3 linked regions of the Cricetulus griseus genome follow. The protein of the gene in region 3 purifies or fractionates together with the protein of the main gene of each other region. This does not show direct contact. Links are inferred from orthologs where the notes say so. Each region holds a gene or a part of one and is shown on either strand. Other genes may lie near its edges.

The links. Proteins that work in one complex are often made in the same cells at the same time.
Region 1: the proteins of Hspb1 (region 3) and Tgfb1i1 purify together in Homo sapiens (affinity purification with western blotting; 3 studies listed by BioGRID). This does not show direct contact. The link is inferred for Cricetulus griseus from reciprocal best matches to the Homo sapiens genes HSPB1 and TGFB1I1.
Region 2: the proteins of Hspb1 (region 3) and G6pd fractionate together in Homo sapiens (co-fractionation; 3 studies listed by BioGRID and IntAct, with this or other methods). This does not show direct contact. The link is inferred for Cricetulus griseus from reciprocal best matches to the Homo sapiens genes HSPB1 and G6PD.

What each region holds. Positions count from the first base shown.
Region 1 is NC_048596.1:72,567,129-72,571,237, forward strand, and holds the start of Tgfb1i1 (transforming growth factor beta-1-induced transcript 1 protein), read right to left. Parts: upstream 2,801-4,109; 5' UTR 2,784-2,800; coding exon 2,597-2,783; intron 2,454-2,596; exon of another isoform or gene 2,370-2,453; intron 1,463-2,369; coding exon 1,347-1,462; intron 1,219-1,346; coding exon 1,166-1,218; intron 1,057-1,165; coding exon 914-1,056; intron 745-913; coding exon 657-744; intron 539-656; coding exon 433-538; intron 323-432; coding exon 128-322; intron 1-127. UniProt on the Homo sapiens protein: Functions as a molecular adapter coordinating multiple protein-protein interactions at the focal adhesion complex and in the nucleus. Links various intracellular signaling modules to plasma membrane receptors and regulates the Wnt and TGFB signaling pathways.
Region 2 is NC_048604.1:1,292,346-1,296,299, reverse strand, and holds the start of G6pd (glucose-6-phosphate 1-dehydrogenase), read right to left. Parts: upstream 2,801-3,954; 5' UTR 2,674-2,800; intron 2,145-2,673; 5' UTR 2,137-2,144; coding exon 2,017-2,136; intron 1-2,016. Other genes in the region: Ikbkg (NF-kappa-B essential modulator), read left to right, coding at 3,004-3,006. UniProt on the Homo sapiens protein: Catalyzes the rate-limiting step of the oxidative pentose-phosphate pathway, which represents a route for the dissimilation of carbohydrates besides glycolysis.
Region 3 is NC_048597.1:114,890,713-114,894,012, reverse strand, and holds Hspb1 (heat shock protein beta-1), read right to left. Parts: upstream 2,156-3,300; 5' UTR 2,004-2,155; coding exon 1,616-2,003; intron 993-1,615; coding exon 929-992; intron 814-928; coding exon 624-813; 3' UTR 501-623; downstream 1-500. UniProt on the Homo sapiens protein: Small heat shock protein which functions as a molecular chaperone probably maintaining denatured proteins in a folding-competent state. Plays a role in stress resistance and actin organization.

The DNA of each region.
Region 1 (4,109 bases), on a different chromosome or scaffold from region 3:
AAAATATACTGTATGCATGCATTAAATTCTCAAAGAATAGACAGTACTTATGAAGGGAAAAGCACAGAGTCTGGTTCTCAAAGGTGGCTATGTGAGCATATGCCTCCTTTCTCAGGGCTGCACTTACTTGCCCAGCAATAGGTTTATTGCAGGAGCCACAGAGGCCTTTGGCCTGAGTGGGAACACCACGGCGACTGAGGTCGGATTGCAGCAGCCCCAGCATGGTGTCCAGACTGCCCTTGCTCGTCTGTCCTGGTGGAGAAGGGCACCCCTCTTGGGTGGAGCTCGCCGCTGGGGGCTGAGATGGCCCTGAGGCTGGAAGCTGCAGTGAAGAGTACATGGACATTGAATCAACAAGGCCACAAATTGGAAGCATCAAAACTGGATTGGTGAACCACAAAGCGACACCAGCCAAAATCCCTCCAGACTCACGTGGTTCTGGACACGAAAGTCAGAGAGTGATGCCATCAGTCTATCCAACTCGAGAGTGGCTGAGGTGGCTGAAGGCTTGGAGGGCACAGGGAATGTGCTGGGAGGACTGTGGAGAACACAGTTGAATAACCTTAGAGCCTGCCAGCATGACACCCCCCTATGGTAACTCAGACATCCAGGACCCATCATCTCCTTCCTAGCTTTGTCAACTATGCCAAACTCACACAGTGGGTGTGTTCTTGTCTTCAGTTTGGTCCTCCTTCTCTTCCCCTTCAGCCATCTTACTAGATGGGAACTGAGACATTATCTCATCTGGAGAGATGGGAAAATGACACTAGGTTAGGGGCACACTCAGTTCACCCTGCCAGTGCAGGCTTTATGTCCTTTAACTGCTCCTTGGAGAAGTCTGTGTCCCTTAAACTCTGCCCTGCTTTGCTCTGTCCCCGACCCATCAATGATTGCTCAGGAACAACCCTGTTACCTGTGATGTTAAACTGGGTGGCATTAAGTTCCTGAAGCAAACGATCTAGCTCACAGAGCCCATTGCCCAGGACACCACTGGAAGAGGAGAACGGAGGAGCCACGGGGGCCACAGGCTTTGGGGACCGAGGTTTGCATACTGTGCTAAGGGACAGGAGAGAATCTGGCTTTAGGGTGGGGAATCCAAGTCCCCTCACCTGAACTTCAACTGGCTTCTTCTCCATCTTCATGCCCCAGTCTCCAGGCCTCTCACCTGTACAGATGATCCTTGTCCCCGGAGGCTCCTGAAGGTTCTCCAGACCCTGTCTGCAGAGAGTAGAGGTGTGTGGAAGAGCAGTCATGTCCCCTGCCTCACTCAGACTCTGATTTTCCCTAGCCCAAACCAACCCAGGCCCTCCTAGTGGCTGCCCCAGACCCCCAGAATTTCATCTCACCTGTGGCTGATGGCCATAGGGTGGGGGAGGTGTGAGTGTCTCTGGCGGGCGCTCTTTTGGAGCCCCTAACCGTGACATGTGTGAAGTGGTGGTCTCCAGGTCAGAGAGCAGGGCATCTGCAGTGAGAGGCCCTCAGGTGAGAGGTGGGGGTGGGGTGGGGTGGGGTCAAGGTCTTAAGTGGTTAGAGGATAAAGGGTTCCAAGTGGCAGTATTTGAAAAGATAGAAGCCAGTGTTAAAGGCAGAGGTTAAGAAACAAACTCGGGGCCAGACCAAGGCAAAGAAGTAGGATGATAACAGAAGGTATTTATGACCTCTCCCTTGGCTTAACCTGGGAGCCAAGTACAAACCTAGTCACTTAACTCTTTTATTCTCTCCATCTTTCCTGACGCAGCCAAGATTAGCTTTTACTGAATTCCCAATTGTTTAATTGCCTGTATGCTTGACACCCAACTTCCTGGTTAGATGTTCTCTGTGGCATATCCACTAATTCTTCCCCACTTCTTGGTCACAATGAAGTTTCACCCAGTTCTCCTCAGGGGCAAGAGGTACTGGCAGGGAGCTGCCTTTGGTGTATTTCTTATCCGTGTACTATTATTGAGGAGCGCCCTCTGCTGTTGGGTGCAGAAATCTCGTCACGCGGAGCAAAGACTCCGCAAATAGGGAGGGCAGAACGCCTGGGGCGCTTTGGATCTATGAGCGCTGATCCCCTTACTCTTCTCTGGGCATCTAGGCAGAAGCCTTAAACTTTTTTCTGTCAACTTGGCACTCTCTGTCTGTTATTCTCTTTCTTGCCCTGAGGACTTACCTGACCTTTGCTATACTTCAGAGGGCTTACCCCTGTCTTCTTGAAGCCCTGGTTTAGGCTATCTGGCCCCCTTTCATCTCCGAAACTTGATGTCACACTCTCCTCTCCAGTCTGTGTTCCTAGTCTCTGGACCCAAGGATCCCTTAACCCCTTCCTTCCCAGAGCCTCTGAATTCAGGCCCCCGTGGGTATCTCAATGCCTAATCCATTACACAAACCGGGTTGAGGGAGCAGAGTCAGGGAAGAACGGAGGGTGCGGGTGCGGCATCGCGAGCAGGCAGGAAGGGAGAGACAGGAAAGGGTACGTGGATTTGGGAGGGAGGCACAGGAAGGCAGAGGCGAGAAAATGGAGGGAGAAAACTGGAATGGGAGAAGTGTGGGGTGTGAGTGGGGAAGATAGATGCAGGCAGGGGTGAGAGGCTAAGGGGACCCGGTCCCCACTCACCCAGGTCCTCCATGGCGGTGCGCTGGCAGACAGCTTGGGGCGAGCAGGGCGGGGGCCGTGTCCGGTGGGGGCGGGGACGGGGGGGGGACGTCAGGGAGTTAGAAGCAGGGCCGTGACCATGTATGGAAGCCGGGACCCGCTGGGATACGGTCGAGGGGGGAGCGATGAAGGGGGAGCATGGGGACATGAAGAAAGACAGCACCAGGGCCCACCCAACCAACCCAGCCTTCTGGCTCCGCTCAGAGGAGGCCACACCCCAGCCTTTGCCTGGGAGGCAAGTCCCAGAAGCTGAAGCCAAATCATTAGTGGTTCTTCCGTAGCTTCCTCCTAAGGAACCCCATAAACTGAAATCCCCCCAAGCCCACTCCTCCCAAAGCCAGCACCTGGGTTCTATGCAGAGCCCCCTCCCCACTAGGGTATTTTTAAAATACGTGTCCCTTGCAGAATTTTATTAGAGACAGGAGTGACTCCAGGTCTGACAGGGAGCCAGATAGAGATCGAACGGCAAGACACTAAGAAATGTCTCATACTGAGAGCACCAATCCGAAGTCAGGGCTTTCCCTGCAAAACATACCTGGAAATAGATACACAGAACAGGGAGAGCAAAAACAAGACCTAAGCCCATGTAAACTCCCAGGTTGACAAACCCCAGACAACTTGTAAAACAAAACCCTTTCCTAGCGCTGAGGTGACCAGAGCCTGTTTCAAATCAGCCCTTTGCTGAGATATTGATGAAAGAGGAGGAAGCAAGCAGCAATACAGACCCCAGTCACAGAGGGACAAGAAGCTTTCCCTGTACCAACTCTCTAAGAAACCAAGTTGGAAACACCTGGAGATGGGTGTGGACAGGTGGCTGCTGTCTTACAGGCACCCTGGAGGACAGATTTGAACAATGGACTATGGGGCTCAACTCAGGAGCAAGTCAGAACCCAGAAAGTTAGGTTATAACACCCAAGCCCAGCACAGACATCCATGCTGGCCTAAATCAACTGGAAAGGGACCAGGTATAAGTACCCTTTACAAAGATAGGATCTCATTATACAACCCTGGCTGGCCTAGAACTCAGAGATCCACCTGCCTCTGCCCCGAGTGCTGGAATTAAAGGTGTGTGCCACCACATCTTAAATTCACAATCTGAACCAGAGAGACTCAGGGGCAGCAAGAGCCCCACCTTAACTCACCTTTCTGAAATGCCCAGACCCTGGAAGGCTTAGTCCAGGGCTCTTGAGAGCCCAATGATGGAGACCCTTCCTTCATCTGAATGCCAGCAAAGCACCTTTCTCTGAATGTGACTAAGATGGGGCTGAGAAACCCTAAGAATACAGCAGGTTTCCCCTTAGGTGAGTGACATTTTAAAACTTGTCTTAGACCAGTAAGACAACTCAGCAGGTAAAGGCACTTTCTGCCAAGCCAAATGACCTGAGTTTGGGACCCATATGATAGAAACAGAGAAGTGACTCCCTCATGCTGTCCTCTGACTTCCACACAGGAGCCATGACATGCACATAGTCAA
Region 2 (3,954 bases), on a different chromosome or scaffold from region 3:
CTAAAATCCTGTTGGTTTGCTTGCTCCCAAAAGACACTGTCCCCATGAGGCTAGGGACTGAGGCTGTTGTGGATTGGAGGAGACACTTGATTGCTACATTGAATGAATGGAGAACTTGCAGGTATCCTAGATCAGCACTTTGCCTGCCTCATGCATTCAGTAAAGTGTCAGGCAAGAGATATTCTGGGGGCTGTCCCGGCACAGGGTCTATTTGTCTCAGGCCCTCTGAGAAGAACAGAGAAAAAAAAATGATGATCTTCAGCAAACTTCTCTTTCTTCCCCACTCCTTTCTGCTGGAGCTAGCAGTTCACATTTCTATTCTGGAAGCCTCAGTTCTCACTCCAGAGCAGAGGAGAGCAAAGGGGAACCATACCGATTGCAGTGAAATGAAGTTGCTCAATTTCAGGCTAGAACTCACATAATTAGTCTAGGATAAAGCCAGAGGCTGTCTGGCCCTTGTTTGTTAGATGAAGACTACTAATGTTCAGAGAAATGGAGACATTTGTTCCAGGTCACACAACAAGCTATCAATGAGGTATCTAAGAGTTCAGGTCTGCCAGTTGTAAACTATCTTTGATGTTTAGATTATTATTGTTGCAAGCTTATAAAAGCATGGGTGGGGCAGGGGAAATCATCCTTAGTTACTTTCTCTTCCAGGTGGTCATTTAGACTGAAGGACCTAATAGTCAGAGTCCTATATGCTAAGGTTTGTAGTTGATACATGTATGCATGGCTCCTTTAAGGGGACTAGGCTGGTGCTACGGCTGAGGGTAGGACTGCTGTACTGTGTGTTCCAACTGGGTACCTCTGTTGGGTCTTACAGTTATAGGGAGTTAGGGGACAGTGCCTTGGGGGTGTCTCTCCCTTGCCCTTTCAGTGGCTGAGCCCTTCTCCTCTGTTTCTGCATTCCTTTTCTAAGTTTTCTCACTCCACTTTTGCTCTGAAATACAAGGCTGACAAAGAACACGTCTGGCAAAGGGGGTGGCATGTTCTGATTTCCTCTTTTTTGATAGTACCGGGAATTGAACTTAGGGCCTCATGCATAAGAGCCTAGTACTTTACCACTGAGCTACAGCCCTAACCCTTAGTGGGTGGCAATGCTCTGTATGAACAAAGAACCACAGAGTTCACCCAGCACTGAGGGGCCCAAAGTGTGCAAGGTGCTGAGCTAGTAGTGGCTACCCTCTCAATAACACATTAGCTCTAGTGAAGTTCTTGCTCAAGGTTACACAATAAGTTAATAGTGAAGATGGTAACACGAGGGTGATCAGATTCTAGGGTTAAAAGCAAGCAATTGAGTTTACCTTTTCCACAAAACCCTGGTCACTGAACATGCCCTGCTTCCACAAAGCACATGAGAGGGTGCCCCACCTGCCCCAGTCTCACTGTGTACCATCATCACACCACCCCTCTGACTACGCTTCTGTTCTTCAGTTTTTCCTAACAGAGCATATTGGTAGTTGTTTTAGTTAGACAACTGGGAACCAGGTGGAATCAACAGAAATCTGCAGTAGGCTCTGGAAGATGTGGTAAAGAGTAGGTGTTTGCCTCCAGGGAACTTCATGCAATAGAGAGAAAAGAGGCAGAGGCAGGACCTCAGATCCTTTCACTGAAAGCAACTGTAACATTTGTCAAATTACAGATTTGGAAAACATATAGACTGAATAGCACTTCCTGGTTGCACCTCAGTTTTTTTTTTTCCATCCAGGAGGAAGAAGTTCAAGTAGATGGTGCTTTAGAACTTGCATGCTCCAAGTCTGGCCCACATTTAATGGCTGAACATAGATTTCTGAAAAGCCTTGCAAATGAGAAATTTGACAGAAGTACATGATGTACAGCAGGTACTGACTGCTGTGATGATCAGGACACACAGGTGGGAACATATGCCGTGAGTTCAAATTAGAACCTGTGTGGCCCCTTAGCAGTCAGTTGGGAAAGTTCAGGTAAAGAGAGAGAAGTGCCTTGCAAAATGCTACATTTGATTTTTTTACACTCAGGGCCTGAGGGGAGACTCACCGATGCACCCATGATGATAAATATATGTGTATCAGCTTGGTGGAAGGCATCACCCTGGTACAACTCTTCCCTCAGGATGCCACACACCTGGGTCCGGCTCAGGGCCACCTGCTCTGCCATGGTGTTTTCTGGTGGAAGAAAGACTCATTGATAAGGCAGGAGAACAGAAGAGCATTGACAACTTAACCTTATCAGAATCAGAAACTGCTGCTTCTGGGCTCCAGCCATATCCTATGTTGTCTTCTCTGGGGGCTGTACATTACGAAATCTCTATAAGCATTAATGGAATTCAGCTAGGGAATCCACTCTGGGAAAGCGACGCGGTCAGAGCATCGCACTGTGTCTGGGGCCATCGCACTCCAGTCTCTGCCAGAAACGCCACAATGAACTGAGCATCTTTTCATTGTGCAGATGATGGAGTTCAGCCCCAGCTCTCTGCTGGCCAAGCTAAATGATCCCAGAAAGACCCTTCTCTTCTAAAAGTCTAGTCCTCATGGGCCTAATGCGGGGAAGTGCGGGGTACAATGGGATGGGTTAAGACCTCGTAGATCTTTTTCCATATCCAAGCATAACAAATAGCGCTCATCAAAGGGACACGCGGCTCATAAGCGGGAAGCACATCCCTCCACCGGTGTGCTATCAGACCACCCCCTTTACCTGTGTTTAGTTGCTGCTGCCAAACAGGTTTACAGTTCTGGAGTGCACAGCTCGTTTCCGGGGGCTGCGCTTAGCTGGCTCGTTTAACGCAGGAGGGCGGGTGCTTTGACTGAGCTGACCCGCCTCAGGAGAGGCAGGAGAGGAGGAGCTTCGGACTACTCCATCGGTGAGGGAGGGGAGAGTAGCAGAAGTAGGTGCGCACGCATCCCTTGTCAGCCCCACCCTGTTGGCCGTCCCTGCTTTCCTGCTCCGCGATCGTGATGCTTTGCTGGCACAGATACAGCTCCGCACAGTTCTCCTGCGTCCCCATCGCTACCCCAGCCATACTTTATGGTCTGTTTTCCGATGGACCCTCGAGTCCCTGCGCACTCCTGGATGACCCCACTTCCGTTAGCAGCATAGCCACGCCTCCCCTTGCAATCGGTTTGGCGTCCTTTAGCAGCTTCTTCTAGGCTTTTTCCATGGTAGGGACCTGGTGGCAGAGAGCCCAGTGACAGAACCAGACTAAAACTGGGGTGTTTCATTGCGAATGCGACGCCTTGAAAATGGGGTGGGGACAACTGTGGGCGAGGTGACACACGCCTTTAATTCCAAGCACCCGGGAAGCAGAGGCAGGTAGATCTGGATAGCTAGGAGAGAGACCCTGTATCAAAAAAAAAAAAGTGTGTAAGTGTGTGTGTGTGTGAGTGTGTGTGTGATCTTTATCAGTGAAGAGCGTTGCGCTCTTCGGTTAGCCAATGCAGGCTGGCGGTCTGAGGCTTCTCTTCAGAGTGGGATGCAGCACTATTGTGGCTTCGCAGCTCCAGTTAATCTCCTCGACTTCGAGTCTGTGTTTTACTTCCGGATCCCACACTTACGACACCGGAAGCCGGAAGCAGGGGTTTCCACAGCCGAGAAGGGAAGGGTGACCGCCCAACCAGGACTTTCTGAGAGCTCCGATTCAATCTGAGAGGTCGGGTTCCGCTGCTCAGGCCCTCTTCACTTCTGGCCGACTCTGCTGACAGGTGTAGTCCTCTTCTCCAAAGATAGGGCTCCATCGGTGGCCATTATGCAGCTTCCGAGGCTCCTGAGCCCCCTTCCCCCCACCTTGGGCCCAGTTTGTTCTGTTGCATGCTTTCGAATGCTTTTTAGAGCATTTATTCAAGAAGTGCAGATTCGCGACCCAGCTTACTTGGACTGATTTCTGTCCTTCCCTCTGCTTATCTGTCGCCTAAGGGCTTGGCCCCAAGTGCTAGAACTCTTAGTTCACAGACATTTTTCTGTTGATGAAACTTTGTTTTC
Region 3 (3,300 bases):
TGTGTCCCATGCTGACCTCAAACTGGCTATATAGCCAAGGATAACCTTAAACTTCTGATCCTCTGTAATGCTGGACTTACAGGTATGCGTTACCATGCTTTTGGATGTGTGTGTGCAAGCTGGGGCGGGGGTGGGGGGCGGTGTCAAACAGTGCCTCATGCCATACAATCACTCTTGTGAACTACATCCCCAGCTCCTGTTTTTTGTTTTGTTTTGGAGACAACAAGTATGTGGCCCGGGCACTCCTGGAACTCACTCTGTAGTCCAGGCTGGCTTCAAATTCACCATGCTCCTGCATCAGCTTCTGGGTGCTGGAATTACAGGCATGCACCATCATGCCCAGCCCCACCCTGGTAAAATTTTAATCTCCAGATTATCATTTTTTTCCTTCTTCCTAGGGAAATGTTAGGCTGAACCCAAGAAGGGGCTGAGCCCATCGCAAAGACACCAAAGGAGCACTCATCCCTAGCCCGCCAGAAACACCGGGGTCTGAGACGGTGGCAAGCAGTAGCTTCCAACTTTTATTTGAGAAAAACAGAAAGTACATGTATCAAAAGAGCATAAAGACTGATAGAGAGGGGTGGCGAGTGATGGCTGTTGGGGATGCAGCAGGCTGATGGCTTCTACTTGGCTCCAGACTGTTCCGACTTCCCAGCTTCCTGGCCCCCAATTTGGGCGCGGGCCTCGAAAGTGACCGGAATGGTGATCTCCGCGGATTGTGTGGCTGTTTTGGGCAGCGGAGCCTCCACGGTAAGTGTGCCCTCAGGGGACAGGGAAGAGGACACCAGGGTGGGGTCCACACCGGGAGGCAGCCTGGACAAGAAGAAAAACAGGACAAGGGTTACACATCCCTCCAGATCCCGGCCCCTCTGTTCTCCTCCCTGGGTCCGCTTTCCTCCACCCAGCCACGCAAGGAACCAGAACTCACGTGTATTTCCGGGTAAAGCACCGGGAGATGTAGCCATGTTCGTCCTGCCTTTCTTCGTGCTTGCCTGCGGGTGGGACAGAAGGAGGTCAGAGACAAGCCTCTGCTGTGTGGTAGCAGACCCCACCACCTGCTAAGGAGTGGCTGGGACTCCAAGGCAGCACACACACGAGAGTGCGGTGAGATGCCTGACTCCCTGGAGTCATCTTAAAACTTTCCAGAAAGTTCGTTTCTGGGATTTGGGATACTGGGCTTGGCTCTGATCCAGGCTGGACACCAGCGCAGGCGCACTCAGAGCTGTGTGCCGGCCCCCTCCGTGGCTGGGACCGGGGACACTGGCAGGAGTCCTGGCACTTCCTTATTTGGGAATGGGGTCTTCCAGAGGGTGCGTTGCTGTGCGTAGAACCCGGGGCTTCCCGTAGGCCAGGCCAGGCTCTGCCCTGAGCTATACCCCCAGCTGTTGGTCCTTATCAGCGAGGATGACAGGCTCTTAGGCGCAGCCTGCGCCCGGGTTCCGCAGCAAGGGAAGCTGGCCAGGGAGAACGACACTGGCCTCCCGGTCTCGGAGCTCCTTTCTAGCTTTCCAGGCTCCCATCCCTCTTGGCTTCACACCCTCCCCCCGCCCACCCGGTACAGCCACCGGGGCGCTCAGCCCGCTGGCTTCTCCCTGTGGGGACAAGGGGGACTCACCGGTGATCTCCACCACGCCTTCCTTGGTCTTGACCGTGAGCTCCTCCGGAGCGAAGTGGTTGACGTCCAGGGACACGCGCCAGCGATCGGCCGTCTGCCGGATCTCCGAGACTCCGCTGCTCAGCTGCCGGTTGAGCGCACGGTGGAAGGCGGGCGCGGCCAGGGGCGCGGCCAGGGCCACCGCCGCGGGTCCCTCGGCGGTCGCGGCGGGCAGTGGGCGCACGTAGCCGGGCCAACCAGCGGCGCTGAACCACTGCGACCACTCATCCGGCAAGCGGGGCACCCCGAAGGCTTGGTCGAAGAGGCGGCTGTGGGCCGGGTACCAGTCCCGGAATGGTTCCCAGCTGGGGCTCCGCAGCAGCGAGAAGGGCACGCGGCGCTCGGTCATGTTCTTGGCTGTGCGGGTCAGGGCAGATGATCCGAGAAGTGCCGAACTGGAGCCCCGGCCGTGCTTTTATGGGTGTCCAGCCGGGTATTTTTAGCAGGCGGTGCTTCAGGTCTCTATTAATGGCAATGACCGTCTAGGGGCCGGCCCTCCCCGCTGCATTCCTCCCCCTAAGCTTACAAAGGGGACAGGCAGGCGGGGCCAGGAAGGTTCTGCCCCCATCTGGAAACTTCTCTAGTTGAAGAAAACAAATGACTGTAATACCGGTAGCTGGAGCTGTTCCCACTGTCGGGCATTCACTGCCTGGGCTGAAGGGCGGTGGCCTGCGGCCCTGTCCCATCCTTCTTTTGAGACTACGGTTGGAAGTTAGGTCCTTTGTGTCCAACTGGGAAACAACTGAGTCTGGTCTGAACCAGAGGGACGCCTGTGTAGACACACACATGCCATGCACACCTGTGGAGGTCTCAGGGCTACCAGCAACAGTCAGCTCTCTCCTACCATGTGTATCCTGGGGAGCAAAGGCTTGGTGGCAGGTGCCTTCGTCCACTGAACTATCTGGCCCTGATAGATTTTTCTTTCTTTCTTTCTTTCTTTCTTTCTTTCTTTCTTTCTTTCTTTCTTTCTTTCTTTCTTTCTTTCTCCTTCCTTCCTTCCTTCCTTCCTTCCTTCCTTCCTTCCTTCTTTCCTTCTTTCCTTCCTTCACAGGGTCTTTTATTGACTCTGGAGCTTGCAAACTGGCTGGGCATACTGGAGCCCCATACTGCCCTCCTGTCTCTGTAATTGCCCCACCCTTCCAGCTCAGCACAGGAATTAGCCGCACAGGTGGCCACACTCAGCCCCCTCCCCCAAACACAGGGTTTCTTTGTGTAGTCCTGACTGTCCTGGAACTCACTCTGTAGACTAGGCTGGTCTCAAATTCAGAGATCTGCCTGCCTCTGCTGGGATTAAAGGCGTGCCCCGCTATGACTAGCCAGATTCAGCTTTTATATAAGTGCTGTGTGTCCGGTACAAAAGAAACTCGGAACAAAGAGCTATCTGTCGTGCCTATTAGCATCCCAAAGCGGCTTGCTGGCCTCCAGGCTCATGCAACATCACAAGTACCTGTTAGGGAATGCTGGCTCTTCTCATCTCACCCTCTACCCTAAAGTTCTCCAGTTAGTGGGCTTCTCGCCCCAGCTTCCCATTGCCCTATAACCCTCCTATTCCACCTGTGCCTTCTCCTGGTCCTCTCCCTGTTTTCTCTTTCTCTCTTGACCCCCTCTCTCTTAGTCTCCTTTGCCCCCACTCTTTTTGCTTTCCT